Elephas maximus indicus: one gene and its partner. The protein of the gene in region 1 interacts with the protein of each later gene in a biochemical or structural test. Links are inferred from orthologs where the notes say so. Each region holds a gene or a part of one and is shown in the gene's direction. Other genes may lie near its edges.

Region 1 (8,245 bases):
GACCTGCTGGTCTTGGGTTTGCTAGCCCCTGCAGCTACGTGAATCAGGAAAAGCCTGTATACTGATCCACAGACTTGGAACGTTCCAGCCTCTACAAACACATGAGCCATTTCCTTGATATAAATCTCTCTCTACCTATATATTTATATGATTTACTACTTTTGCTTCTCTAGAGAACCCAGCCAAAGACAGGTAGTATTGACACTTTCACAATGTTGAATGTTCCTAACCATGAGCATGGTATATTTTTCCACATACTTTTCTTTTTTGTAGTTTTCCACTTGTACTTCTAGATTCTGTCCTTCCTACCACCACGAGGATTTTCTCCTACGGCTATCTTTTTTGTCTTTCCCTGCTATCATTAATATCTCCTTGCCCTCTGAGTATAAAAACACTATATATCTCACTTAAAAAACACATCAGGAATAGGAGTAAACGGAATGGGTTGCTAATTGTTTACATGAACAACTGCCTTCTTTGCCATGAGACCAGAAAAACTGAATGGTGCCTAGCTGCCATTACTGACCAGTTTGATAAAAAAAATTCTATAGAATCCTGATCAAAAGGGGGAAAATGTAGAACAGAATTTCCAATTATCATGGGATCCAGACTTTATGGAGTCAGAGAGGTTGGCTGAACCCCTAAAACTATTGCCCTGAGATCATCTTTAAACCTTAAACCTCAAACTAAAAATATCCCCTGAAGTTTTCTGAAAACCAAGCAATAGTTTAGCTTAACTAGTAAAGAATGTTTGCCTTGAGTATTGTGCTCTTTTAAAATCTATCTATATGGAATGAAATTGACAACAGCAATTCGAAAGATTAGACAGGAAACTTGGGGTGGCAGTTAAAATTTTTGACTTCTCAGGTTTCTTGGGCTGCTAGTGCCCCACTTATAGTATGTGCTCATGTCTGATTGCTAGGAAATCCAAGTCCCACTTAAATTCTTTGCCTCTATGGTTCTTGGGATGCTAGTGCCCAATTTATAATACATCCTGCTGTCTGAAGGGGACATGTATAAAAAATAATTCAGTCATGAAAGGGCTTTTAAACTAAACTTCAGCTCCTAAAAGGCAGAAGTTGAATTTGTTCAAGGTCTGGCACACATCTGCAGGCAGTCCACATCATTGTATTATATTGGCCTGAGGTCAGTGGGTATAGGCTGTAGTTAGAGCTGGTAAGCCTCACCTGATGCCTGTTTTTTTTAAGTCAGGCTTTGCTTTGCCCTGTAATTGTAATCTCTGTCCTCTGACTTTGATTTCTTCTGTGAAGCAGCAACATTGTGGCTAGGTTTTAAGTAGAAAATAGTGTAAGTTTATATAAACAGCAATATAAATAGCAAGTTTTTTTTGTTGTTGTTGTTTTTGTTTTGTTTTTTAAATCCATATGGTAGTTATGTCAGTTCTGTCAATTGGAGCAAGCAAAAAGGAGGATACTGGATATTTTTGAGAATTTTCTCAAATAATGAAGTATCTACATAACCAGTTAAATGCTTAGTACAATATATTTTCAGAAAATAGTGGTTTGAATTATTAGAATGCAAAAATGATGACCTCTTTAGAGTGGCATGTCTCTTCAGTTAGCGATGTCAGTGATGTCCCCACATCAGAAGGCTTTTGGTGGCAAGCTTGATAAAAATGATCAGCAGCATTTTCAGTCTATGTAAAAGCTTACATAAGTGTAGCAGGATATAGTGAAAAGAGCTTGGCTTTTGGAATTAGATTTGAGTTGAATACTAGATACTATGGCTACTAGTGACTTTGGGTAACTTTTCTGACTCAGTTTCCTTATCTACAAAATGGAGATCATAATACCTACAAGATTTTCATGATTATTAATTAAACTAGCAAATGCTATTTTAAAAATTGACGCCTTTTGAATTATGGTATTGGTGAAGAATATTGAATATACCATGGACTGCCAAAAGAATGAACAAATCTGTCTTGGAAGAAGTACAACCAGAACGCTCCTAAGAAGCAAGGATGGCGAGACTGCATCTTATATACTTTGGACATGCTGTCAGGAGGGATCAGTCCCTGGAGGACATCATGCTTGGCAAAGTACAGGGTTAGCAGAAAAGAGGAAGACCCTCAATAAGATGGATTGACACAGTGTCTCCAACAATGAGTTCAAGCATAATAATTTAAGGATGGTGCATGACCAGGCGGTGTTTCGTTCTGTTGTGCACAGGGTCGCTGAGTCGGAACCAACTCCATGGCACCTAACAACAACAACAAAAACAGCAAATGCTCAATAAAAATGCCCTCCTCCTTTCTTCTGGAGCCCTGGTGGTGTAGTGACAAAGAGCTACAGCTGCTAACCAAAAGGCTGGCAGTTTGAACCCACCAGCTGTGGCTTGGAAACCGTATGGGGGCAGCTCTACTGTGTTCTATAGGATCGCAATGAGTCAGAATCGACTTGAGGCAATGGCTTTGGTTTTTTGTTTGCTTTCCTCTCTTCCGATCTCTGTGTTAAAAACGGTGAGATTTTGACAATTGAAGAGATCAACTATTAGAGAGAAAGAGAGATGTCTGCAAATAGGCAGTGAGTTCTAAAACTGCTGTGGCTATTGCAAAGCAGTTTTTTGCTTATATCCAATTTACAATGCACAGTTGGTTCTTTGAAGGATATACAGTGGTGCAAAAGAACATGTTGCATGAAATACACAAAATCTTAGAGATTCAGGTCTTGGGGAAAAAAACCTTTTAGGTTAAACACCTACCATTTGTTACCTTAAAGTGAGCAAGGTCCTTGGGAAACAAGGAGGGGGATTTTTGAGATTAATGAGGTTGGTTTGCAGGGGTATATTTAATGATAAGATGCACAAAAGTCTTGGACCATTGTACAGGCTTGGGAATTGCTTAACACCTGTATTCACATGATTTCCTTTTAACAACCTGATGAAATGCAAAGGCTGATGTGATTTGAATGGGGCGAGAAGGATTTATGTATCAACAGCAGAGGCAAGTCTTCTTAAAGTATTCAGGCAAATTAAGAAAAAGGAAACTTGGAAGAGAAATGTGGGTGGCTATTTATGGCAAGCATAGTACTTTGAGAGCAATTATTTGTCTCTTTACTACTGTTTAAGGACCCTGGGAGGAGCCCTTGTGGTGCAGTGGTTAAACAGCTTGGCTACTAACTAAAAGGTCAGCAATTTGCATCCACTAGTGGCTGGGTTTTTAGCGGCTCCTTGGAAACCCTATACTGTCCTATAGTGTCGCTATGAGTTGGAAATCAACTCCAGGGCAATGGGTTGAGTTGGGTTATGAGTTTGAATGGTCGCAGCACACAACTACTACCTTTTAAATGATTGACCTATTTGGTGTTTTGGAAAAATTTTTTTTTTTTTTTTTTAATACGAGAGAGAGAGAGGCACCAATTATTCAGTTTGGTAAGGGAATTTGTGTGCTAACAACGGGAAGACAAAACAGTAAATAGAAGCAAATAAGCAAAAGCTAATTAAAGGGAACCCAGACCTGCTTGTTGATGCCTTTGAATTGTGGTGTTGGTGAAGAATATTGAATATACCACGCCAAAAGAACAAACAAATCTGTCTTGGAAGTACAACCAGAATGCTCCTTAGAATCAAGGATGGTGAGACTGCGTCTTACATATTTTGGACATGTTGTCAGGAGGGATCAGTCTCTGGAGAAAGACATCATCATGCTTGGCAAAGTACAGGGTCAGCGGAAAAGAAGACGACACTCCCAGTGGCTGCAACAATGGGCTCAAGCATAACAACGATCCTAAGGATGGCTCAGGACCCGGCAGTGTTTCGTTCTGTTGTGCATAGGGTCGCTGTGAGTCCGAATTGACTCAACGGCACCTAACAACAATAAATACCTGCCTCCAGTGTTGGAGGTGGATAGCAGCTAATGCCGTAGGCTTGGATACCTGGTAGGGCGCTGCAGGTCAAGCAATGAACAAGACCAGCTTTACACCTTTGTTCCTTTGGCTCATGACCATGTTCCTTTGGCTCATGATCATGTTGGCAGAGCCTCTCTAGCACTGTTTTGAGGCACCAACTTCAGGAATTTAAGGGGAACTAAATAGTGTGTGGATACTCTGATACCCATTTGAAAACTCGACCCGAGTTTATATTTGGAGGAAACATGGGAGCTGCCGATTTTTTTTTTTAAGGGAGATTTTGCGCAGTAATTCAAGAACATTTCATTGTAATTTTAAAATTTGCTTGCTAGTACCGGGCACTTTCTAAGCCGTATGGGAAAAGTCTTGACTCTTCACTCTGGGATATATTTATACCGAACACCTAAAACTGCTCTGGAAATTCCCCCACGGAACTTTTGTAGTCTTACTAAGGCATTCTTAAATCTAGACCCATCCCTAATCACCTTCCTTTCCAGCCATATTCTATAGCCTCCCCACTTTCCAATTTCCTAAATTTTCAACCTCCCTCAAATTAGTCCAATCAAACTTTCCCTTCTTAGACCTCTTCCTTACGTTCGCATCTAGAAACTCCTGTAACAGTCACATGGCCAACCTTGTCCTTAACGGCGCTCCGTAATTCCCCCCCCCGCCCCTTCTTACCTCCTGCTAGCTCCGCCCCACCCCATTCTCGTTCCCCTCCCTCCAGTGTCTGCGCCTGCGCACCTCCAGTTCGGGCGCTTTCCCTTTCCTAGTGACCAATCCACTTCCTGCCTCCGGTACTCAGAACACTCCTCCCCGCTGTCGGGGCCCTGGCCTGAGGTGTTAGTAGTGGCTGCCCCATTGGCTGCCTGTCTGAAAAATTCGCTCCTCCTTGAACCAGCCGTTAAGTGGCTCACACTTACATGAGCCGTTGCTCTGGAACAGCCACCGCAGAGCCAACCTGAGGGCATTGGCATGCCGAGGGATGGGGGATTCGGACTGTTTTGCAATCTGGCAATCGCTCAGACAGCCTCTTCCTTTCGGCCTCCCTCCGCCCCGCCCCCACCCGCAGCTCGGCCGCGCTGGTGAGTGGCGGGCGGGAGGGCCGTCGGGCGGAGGGAGGAGGGGGAGCTGAGGGAAGGCGGGTCCTCGGGTGCGAGATAGGTGGGGGGAGGGGAGGGGAGAGCCCGAGCGCTGGAGTTGGTGCTGGGAAACCCGGGGCTAATGTTGACAACAGGCTCGAGGTGAGTCCCGGGGAACCTCCTTCCCCTCCGCTCCAACGATCGGGAGGAAGCGGGGCTGGGGGACTCCGGCCTGGACCCCTACTCCCTGAGGGACCCAAGGGGCGACTCCGCACCCCAGCTCTCCTGGGGTGGGGAGCAGTAGAGGGACCGCTGGTCCGGCGTCGTCCTCTTCAGACCCCTCTCCCGGAGGCTCCCATCCATCCGGCTCGGGGCAGGCTTGAGGGGCGGTAGAGGAGGTGCCTGCCCCACACGCCTGGGCCGGGCCTCGGAACTGGAGGCGGGGAGCCTTCTGTGGCGGGGTGAAGGTGTTTGGGGGCGTGGAGTAGAGCGAGGGGAGGTTGGGGAAAGCTCTGGGAGAGCTGGGAGGGAAGCGAGGGCGAGGAAGTGGGGAGGGCGAGTGTGTGGGAAGATGTAGAGTAGGAAGACTAGCGGTGAGTCTTCCGTGGTGAAGGGAGTGTGGGTGAGAAGTTGGGGTTGGGGCAAGGATGGTCTGCGAAGGTCACCCGTGGGTGGCCGTAGGAAGGGAAGTTGTAGCGGGGAAGTGTGTTTGATACAGGAATGTGGAGGAAGCAGGGGTTGGTGGGAGATGTGTGTGTAGGGGAAGGGGTTTTGGTGTATGTGAGGATGGTGGACCCGGGTCATTTAGTTTATTTCCATTTGATCACAAGGCTGGTTGATTCTTTGCTTTGCCTTCATTCCAAGGCTTCAGGTACTCTCTTGTTAGTACTGTTGGACTAAGGAGATGATCATAGGCTATTCGGTGTCCAGATTGGCAAAGCAGAGCCAGCTTAAAGGCTCCAGGGGTAGTCACTGGACTGGCCGGACCATCAACTCTTAAAAATAGTAGCGCTTCAGATCAAAGTAAAACTATCACCCACCCTTTTCATTTATCATAGTTTTCAGTGGTTCATAAAAATTGCATGACACCTCAAGAAAACCATTTTTGAACTCTGGTGGAATTTGTAAAAACTTTGAATGAGTCTCTTTTTGTTCTAAGGACATTCTTCAAAGACTAAAGTTAAAAACTGGGAAATAATGCTCCTGTGTGGTTCTGCCCTTTAGTTAGAACATTTGGACTAATACGAGATTAAAAGGTAAAACACTATTCTCTCACTCTGTAGTGATTTCATACATAATCCATACGGTTCATGCAAAGGAGACTCTTTAAAAGGGAAATATCCCCTTAAACCTACCCCTCCACTCTGTTGGTACCTCTTTTACCAGTAAGATAATTTCACTGGTAACTTCAATGTATATTTAGAATACCATATAAAATATACAGCCCAAGTGCTCCACCAGGGCACATTTGGGAGCTAAGAAGGGCGTTTTAAAGCATGGTTTCCTTTTCAGAGGTGTCTGAACATAATTTTACTTAACTCGGTAAAATACCTTGTTAGAGCTATCATATTCTAATGTAAAGAGCACTGATTTTTACCTTGATTATTTTGAGATAAAATCTGTTTAACGTTCTGGTTTTTACTTGACAAACTTTTTGAAACACCTTAGATAAAGTCTTTGACTGTTTATTGAAGCATGAATTTATTATTAAAGAGTTTTAGCATTGTATTAAGTAATTAAGTTGAGCATTAAATTAAGCCTAATTTAATGTTCAGCTTAATTTTTAAAATTTTCTTAGTATACATATGTAGTGATCTGAATTATGTCATTTGTAGATTTTGTTTCCTAAATATTAAAGTCAGGTTATATAGTGGAAAAGAGCACTGGACAGTGAGTCTTGGCCCAGCCCGCACACTATTTGTGTAATCTTGGACAGATCACTCTGCTGCTGCTACCTCAGAGTAGAAATAGAGAATCAGAATGGATGAAGCCTAATGGGTTTTCTAACTCTAAAATAACTTTTCAGTGTTCTATAGGGTTGCTATGAGTGGCAATCTACTCGATGGCAGTGGGTTTGGTATTTTTTTGGTGTGAAAGAGAATCAGCATTTGTTGAGTGCTTCCTCATGCTGTCTGCTATGCTAGAAACTTTATTATATCAAGACCTCTATAAGATAAAAAAATATTTCCATTTGTTGATGAATAAATAGACTTGGGGAGCCCTGGTGGCAAAGTGGTTAAGAGCTCAGGCAGCTAACCAAAAGGTCGGCAGTTCGAATCCACCAGCTGCTCCCTGGAAGCCCTATGGGGCAGTTCTGCTCTGTCCTATAGGGTTTCTGTGTTGGAACTGACTCCATGGCACACAACAACAACAAACTTAGAGAAATTAAGGTGCTCAATTTCCATAGCTAGTTTGGGATGCAAACTTAAAGTCTGTCTGACTCCAAAGCCCATGTTAGTTTCACATGTTACATACTGCCCCTACGTGAACCTTTAGATTTTTGTCATATTTCTTGTTCACTGAAATTTAGCCAAGTATATGCTTATAATGTAGGCATGACATCATTCAAGGAAGACAGCAATATCAAGATGTAAGGGCCTTATTGAGAATCTCTTTGTGTTTTATCATGTTCTCGATTATCATGAATGCCTACTAGAGTTTATTTCATGTAGTAGGTATTTGAGATAAAAATTTATTAAGTAAATGAATACTATAGAGTCACAAAGCTTTGGGGGAGACTCTTTTGAGCTAATAAATGGTGAGTGATCCTTTATGAATTTGTCAGATTCCAAGCTAATTTCTTTTTAAAATTTAAAAAATAACTTTGATAAGATTTCATTTTATCTTCATAATAAAACATAAATTTTGATGCCATTTTTTATATTGTCTGAGAACTGTAATTACTTGTAACCCTAAAATTCACTTGTTGATGCTTCACATCAGAAAGTACAAATTCTGTATTATTATTTTAATTTTTTGCACGTAATGACGAATATCCCTAAATAAGATTGTGCTTACTTAGGTGCTATCTTGTCCTCGTGCTTTTCAGCCAGAATCTGGGAAAAGTTAAAGACATTATGTAAAAACTGCTTAACCATTAATTATTAGGGGACTCTTTCTACCCCAAGATTCATAATTCTATAATTTGTCATAGTTAGGATCTATGATCAAGCCTTCCAACTCACAATTTGGTGCCCTTAGGATTCTTAACTTTGGTTAAGAATGTGAGTTCAAATTTCAGCTCTGTCTTTAGCTGTGGAGGCCTTGGTCAAGTTACTTGGTCCAGTCTCAGCTTAC
Region 2 (7,321 bases), on another chromosome or scaffold:
GTGTGAAGAAGGGTGTCTAACTGTATGCCAATATTGTTTCTGTTATTACCCAATTCTCCAGTAACATTGCATGTCGTTGTTAGGTGCTGTCAAGTCCATTCTGACTCATAGCGACACCAGGTGCAGGTAGAACTGCCCTATAGGGTTTTCTAGGTTATAATCTTTATGGGAGCAGATCTCCAGAGCTTTCTCCCACGGAGCTGCTGGGTGGGTTCGAACCACCAACCTTACTCAGCAACCGAGCTGCTTAACTGTTTGCGCCACCAGGGCTCCTTGTGTTGCCCAGTTTCCTAAAAATGTGTCCTTGCCAACTGTAACGTAGCCATGTTGTTATCATCAAAGGAAAATTTGAGGTGAAATGTTATGGTCGCCAGCCTCTTGAAATCACTGCCATCTACCAGTTAGATACGGGTTACCATGTAAAGTGTAGCCTTTTATGACAGTCATGTACCCAGAACCACAGTCATTCCAAAATTCCTGCTCTGTTTTGGCTGCAAAGTTTTGTGCATACACATAAAGCAAAACATTTTAACAGGTTGGGTAATGTGTAAGAAGCTAGACTTCTTTGTAATACGCTTATTTTCTCACGTAAAATCATAAGCTTCTAAGTGTATTTTGTTCACTCTATCTTGAAATTTGTATTATGAGATCTTATTTAAAGAATAATTTTATCTGACAAACCTGAATTCTAAAATTCTGTAATTTTTATGAAACCATTTATCAGAACATTATTTGTGAATAATAACAAAGTGAAAAATCAGAGTTTTAAAACATGGACAGTGGTAGCTCTTGGGAAAAAATATTTGGGCATTTTGCTAGCCAGATTTACAAGAAATACACATTCTTACTATTTGGAAAAAGAAATGAGATTTGATTTTTAAAACAACTTTATCAGGATTTAATTCACATACCATACAATTCACTCATTTAAAGTTTACAGTCCAGTGGTTTTTAATATATGCAGAGTTGTGTAACCTTCACCATGTTAATTTCAAAACACTTTCATCACCCCAAAAAAGAAACCTTGTACCGATGAGCAGTCCTCCCTGTCCCCTCCCTCACAGTCGTAGGCAACCACCAGTTTACTTTCTGTATCTAGTGATTTGCCTATTATGGACATTTCATGTAGAGGGCATCATACCATAAGTGGCCTTTTATGACTGGCTTCTTTCACCTAGCATAATATTTTCAAAGTTCAAGGTAGCGTTGTAAAGTGTATCAGTACTTTATTCTTTTTAATGGCTGAATACTATTCCACTTTGTTTTGTTTCCCAAAGCAGCTGCACCATTCTGTGTTCCCACTAGCAGTATATGAGGATTCCAATTTCTCCACATATTCACCAACACTCATTATTTGTCTTTTTTTGATTCTAGCCATTCGAGTGGGTGTGAAGTGGCATCTCATTGTAGTTTTAATTTGCGTTTCTCTGATGACTAATAAGGTTGATTCATGTGCTTATTGACCATTTGTGTATCTTCTTTGGAGAAATGTCTATTCAGATCTTTTTCACATTTTTTAACTGAGTTGTCTTTTTACTATTGACTTTTAATAGCTCTTTATATATTCTCGTAAGTTTCTTGTCAGATGCATGATTTGCAAACGTTTTCTCCCATTCCGTGGGTTGTCTTTTCATTTTCTTGGTGATGTCCTTATAAGCAAAAAAGTTTTTAATTTGATAAAGTCCAACTTATTTGTTGTCATTGTGCATTTGGTGTCGTATCTAAGAAACAGTTGCCTTATCCAAGCTCATGAAGATGTACTCCCACGTTTTCTTCTGTTTTATGATTTTAACTCTTACATTTAAATCTGTGATCCATTGTGTGTGTGTGTGTGTGTGTGTGGTGTGAGGTAGGGATCCAACTTCATTCTTTTATATTTGGAGATCTAGCTATCCCAGCCCCACCTGTTGGAAAGACTGTTCCTCTCCATTAAATTGTCTCGGCACACTTATCAAAATCAATTGACCATAAATGTAAGGGTTTTCTTCTAGACTCTCAATTCCATTCAGTATACAGGGAGTATACTGTAGATATTTTGAAGGAGAAAAAATAAATGGGCCAAGTCATGTGAAAAAGACAAAGAAATATGATACTTGTTCTGCAAGAGCTTATGTTTTGTATGTTTCAGCAAACGTGGGTACCTGTTAGGTGCCAGATACAGACCTGGGCTGGGGAGGAATAAATGAATAAATTCATAGTTTCTGTTTTCAGTGAAGTCCCAGTTCTGAGTGGAAACTGCACAGAAAGTACCTCAACCCTTATTGTACAATGTAGTAAATAGAGAAAGGGAGGTATGCTCAAGGTTCTGTGGAAGCTCAAATGAAGGGCCCTCACCTTGACTGGGATTCTGTTGGTCTGAGAGAACGTAAGAAAGGTGGACAGAACATTCTAAGCAGAGGGCATAGCATAAGTCCTGACTATAGTGGTGGTGGGAGACAAAATATGAACACAAGAAATATAAGACATTGCATATGCTTTGACCTAATGACAAGTGGGAATGAGTTCTTTCCTCCACTTGACAATTTTTGTGAGTTTTAGCTCAGTAATAAAGGAATTCCTCTGAAGCAAAAGTGCTTCAGTAAGATTATTTTATAGACAGGAGGTGTGAGGTTCAGAATCCATTTTATTATCCCAATTTGGAAACATGACTAAAAAACTAAAATCCTGAGTTTGGTGATAGTTTAATCTGAAAAATATTTAAAAAGAGGGAAGACCTGCAAATAGAGAGTAGTTTTAAAAACATATATTCAAAATATATGTTCTGTATTTAAAGACTGCTGACACATCCCAAATTTAAAAAGTTTCCTTTTTTTTTTTTTTTGCCATCAGCAACCCTCTTTAATTATTCTGCTCCTACTTCCCACTCACACTATAAAAGATTTTGTCTGGCAATCACATTTTCCCACTTTTTATCAAAGATAACACACTGTCAGAGCTTTTGATCCACATAGCTTTATCATATACTAAATTGATTTGAGACAAAAGGAAAAAAGCTGTTGGCCTAGCCTGTGCCACCGTATCATAGGTGCATTTCTAATAGTATTCCTTTAGGTTTTATGGATTACTGAAAAGAGCTCCTGGCCACCTTTGTGGGGTTTTAGAGAACTCAGGTTTGGAACCACTTTATGAGCCTTTTGGCCGATTTAAAATATCACCTATCAAATGTGGTCACAGATAGTGGCTAAAACACTGGATTGAGCTAAGAAACCTGGATTTACTTCCGGTTGACTGCCAGTGACTCCTGTAAATCTCTTAATCTGTCAATCTCTCAGTGCTTCAGCTGCTCCATTCTCTAGTCGTTTGTGTGTGTCCTTGAAACTCTTGAAAGAAATGTGTTATAAGTTAAAAAACACGAGAAAATAGCAAAAAAAAAAATGGAATTTCAAGATAACTTCCAAATGATGCTAATCAAAAGTGTTACTGGCTGCTTGTTTGTTAAAAAGTAAATGTGAACCCAGTTTTAATGTCCCATTAGTTGGAAGCCTTAAAGAGCTGAATAAAAATTATACTGGAAAACCTTAAGGCCCAGTATTTCTGGAAGCATTTATTTTATCCCGTATAAGAAAGCCATGTACCAACTTGCGTCAGCCACTGGACCCTTTTTTTTTTTTTTTTAACTGTAATTGCTGTTCTTTAATAAAATGTTCAAATATCTTTGGAAAAGAAGAAAACTGTAAATATTCAGCACACGTATTTCTCAGGAATGTTTCGCCCAACAGCCTTCTATGTTTAGCCTTCTATTTGGGGAACTGAGATTCAGCAATGCAGACCCAATTTTATGAGCTCCTGCTTACGCCAAAAACTCTCTGGTTCTGAATTTCTGTGGAGCTGTGCCTGTCACCTGACCAGCTGAACCGTTTAGTGGCCAAGAAGCTAAAAAGAGGAGATGCCATTATTCCCTTCTTCCTTCTAGTTTCCCGGCTTCTTGCATGCGGAAAGCGGGTGCAATCCCAGCCACCGCCACGCCATCTCTGTAAACCAGTGTTTCTCCAAGTGCCCCGCACGCAGGACCACTGTCAGGGCACACTGGGGGTGCTAGCTGAAAGCGAGGGCTCCAGGGCCACACCTGAACCCACTGTGTCAACCTCTGGTACCTGGCCCCAGAGTCTCGCCCCGGCCTCGCCGCACACCCCTGTCCCTCCCTCGGTTCCCCTGCCCCGGGGTGGGCGTGCTCCCGGGCCTGGGGACGGACGTGCAAAGCCGTGGGAAGGGGCAGAGGCGAGAGGGGCGCGGGCGACCGAGAAAACGTGGCATTCTCGCGAGGTTTCGGCCGAACTCTCGGGGTCGGGGGAGGCGGGGAGGCGGCTGCCCCGAAGCGGCTGCGAGATGCGCTCGGAGAGGGAGGCGGCTGGTGGCGCCGGGGCCACCGGGGCTGCAGTGGCAGCTCGAGGCTCGAGTGGGAGGGAGAAGCCGTCAGCGCTCACTCCCCGCGGGGGGCCGGCCATGGAGGTCCAGTTCCGCTGGGAGTCGCCGCGGCGAGAGCCCGAAATGCCGTCTGCCTCCGCCTCCAGCTGTAGGGGTGGTGGGGGCGGGGCGGGCAAACCTCGCGAGGAGAAGAGGACGGTTCTGAGCAAGGTCCGGGAAGGGGGCGGGGCGAGGACGGGGGAAGGGGAGGGGCGGGGCGAGGGCGGGGCGGGGCGGTGAGGGGGCGGGGTGAGGACTACGGAGGGGCGGAGCACCTTCAGGACCCCGGAGAGCGCCCGGGCAGGTCTCTGATAAGCGACTGACAAGAGTTGGGGAAAGGGATGCTGAGGGAGACAAAGTTTCCTGCACTTTCTGACTTGGTCTTTTCCGACTCAGAGGAAGAAGAGCCATTTAAGTGAATATATTAAAAAAAAAAAAAAAAAGCCGTTTGCCGTGGAGTCGATTCCGACTCATAGAGATCCTATAGGACAGAGTAGAACTGCCCCATAGGGTTTGGCTGGTGGATTCAAACTGTTGATCTTTTGGTCAGCAGCCGAGCATTTAACCGCTGCCCCATATTTTTCAGATGGATTTAGAATCCTTGGCTTACCACCATCAGACAGCGTGTTCAAAGCAAGAAATTTCACTCCTTCTACCCCTTCTTCCTTCCCACCCCGTACTATTTCCGGTTCCAAACCGACATTATTACTAATGACCACCCCTCTAGATAGGATTTAAAGACGCCTCAAAATCTGAAACATGAGACTGCTGAGAAGCCCCCAAACGGGTCACACGAAGGTAGACGATTACTTAGTTGGCAGAGTCACATTCAGAAGGCTGGTACATACCGATCTAATCAAATAAAGATTTCCAGAGAGGAACTGGAAATGGCCACTGCAGAAAAGGATTACCAGATAACCCTGATATTACTAGCATAAGAGACAGAGAGGAATGAACGAACACTGGAGAAAGAACTGCCAGTAATACGTATCAGAGAGGTGAAAGTGCCCACCACAGGCAGCCAAAGTGCTGCAGGTCGTGAAGCTGGCCAAGAACTCCTACTGGCAACAAGAACAAATACACTTTACTTTTTATTGCTTGCATTTCTCTGAATGTGTTTTCCCTTCTAATACTAATTAAGGTAGAGTGTGGAGAAGATTTCATTTTTCAGTGCTGGCACAAACAGTACATATCATATGCCAGCAGTTTTCTCGATGTAGTAATAAAATGCTTACATGAAAAAGAGCTGTGTTATACACAGCCTTTTCTGACCTCACTGATAACTTTTAAATTACTCAGCCATCTGTACCCTTTGACCACCATGTTCTCTGTGCATGTATGTCTTAACCTTTTTTCTGTGTGTGTTTCTGTTGGACTCCTGGTTTAGATTTTCCTCTGTGCATAAATATAGGGGATCAAGCATTCCAACAATTGACACTTAATAAAACCCATTAATAGTGAAAACAAAATCCAGTCAGCGTCGGTTTTACCTTGGTGCTCCTCAGGTCGTCATACAGTTTTACCTTGGTGCTCCTCAGGTTGTCATACAGTTTTATCTTGGTGCTCCTCAGGTTGTCATATGGTTTTACCTTGGTGCTCTTCAGGTTGTCATACGGTTTTACCTTGGTGCTTCTCAGGTTGTCATACAGTTTTACCTTGGTGCTCCTCAGGTTGTCATACGGTTTTACCTTGGTGCTCCTCAGGTTGTCATACGGTTTTACCTTGGTGCTCCTCAGGTTGTCATACGGTTTTATCTTGGTGCTCCTCAGGTTGTCATACGGCGGCTTCCTCCCAGTCTCACCAAGGAGCAGCTGGACGAGCAGCTACATCCGCTTCCTGCACACGACTATTTTGAGTTCTGTACTGCCAATCTTAGGTGAGGAGACACGTTAAGCTTCAACATTAAACAGCTGAGAGGTGTTGTCAGTTGATGGGCAGTTGTTATAGATAAGGGAAGGCATCCTTTTTTCCATATTCTCTACCAAATGTCCGCAGAAATCGGTACCGTTCTTTATTTTTGCAGCTCACTTCTAAGTAGGCAGATTACTAAAAAAAAAAAAAAATTTTCCCCTAAAATAGAATTTTGGAATATACTTCTACTGTCACCACCAGAGTATAAAAGGAAAAACAGATTTACACCATTATTACTTAGCTTTTGAACCTTGTTTCCTGTAGCTTGTTAAAGTAAATTATGTTGAGATATCACAAAATAAATGAGTATGTTATAAATGTGTAACCTGGGGAATTTTCACAAGTGAACAAGCTTATGTAAGTAGGTGTCAGTTACATAAAGAAGCCAAATATTTCCAGGACCCCAAAAGCCCCTTGTGCTCGGTTCTATCACTAACAGCCTCCCCTGCCAATTGTATCTTTTTCAGCACTCTTTTACAGTTTGATAATAGGATGACTAGCCTCACTTTAACACTTACTAATCTCCTTCTTAAAAGAGAGGCGACCTCAGCTCAGACCTTTAACAGACAACAGGGCAGCTAGAATTTTGTGATTTTTCACTATATTATTGTCTTCGTTATCATGATTTCCCATTTATGGTAGTCATGTAAACTTTCCTTTTGAATAAATGCACGCATTTAAGTTAAAAAAAAAAAAAGATCCATTCAGAGAAAAATATTACTAACAGGCAAACATAGATGTAGTGAAAAACAAAGGTGGTTTTCAAATGACTGAAGTTGAGGAAAATACTGGTATGTTAAAAGAGAACAAGCCTGGGAACTAGAATGATCTAGACTGGAACCCCAGTCCCACCTTTTAACTAACCATACCCTCTAAACCCCAAAAAAAACCACTGCCGTCAAATTGATTCTGACTTCTAATGATCCCATAGGACAGAGCAGAACCGCCCCATAGTGTTTCTAAGGAGCAGCTGGTGGATTGGAACCTTTTGGTTAGCAGCTGAGCT

Evidence for each region. The genes of interacting proteins can lie anywhere in the genome.
Region 2: the proteins of UPF2 (region 1) and UPF3A form a complex in vitro, tested with the Homo sapiens proteins (2 studies listed by IntAct, with this or other methods). The link is inferred for Elephas maximus indicus from reciprocal best matches to the Homo sapiens genes UPF2 and UPF3A.

What each region holds. Positions count from the first base shown.
Region 1 is NC_064822.1:45,340,886-45,349,130, forward strand, and holds the start of UPF2 (regulator of nonsense transcripts 2), read left to right. Parts: upstream 1-5,035; 5' UTR 5,036-5,110; intron 5,111-8,245. UniProt on the Homo sapiens protein: Involved in nonsense-mediated decay (NMD) of mRNAs containing premature stop codons by associating with the nuclear exon junction complex (EJC).
Region 2 is NC_064835.1:75,689,880-75,697,200, forward strand, and holds the start of UPF3A (regulator of nonsense transcripts 3A), read left to right. Parts: upstream 1-4,275; 5' UTR 4,276-4,326; coding exon 4,327-4,575; intron 4,576-6,173; coding exon 6,174-6,280; intron 6,281-7,321. UniProt on the Homo sapiens protein: Involved in nonsense-mediated decay (NMD) of mRNAs containing premature stop codons by associating with the nuclear exon junction complex (EJC) and serving as link between the EJC core and NMD machinery.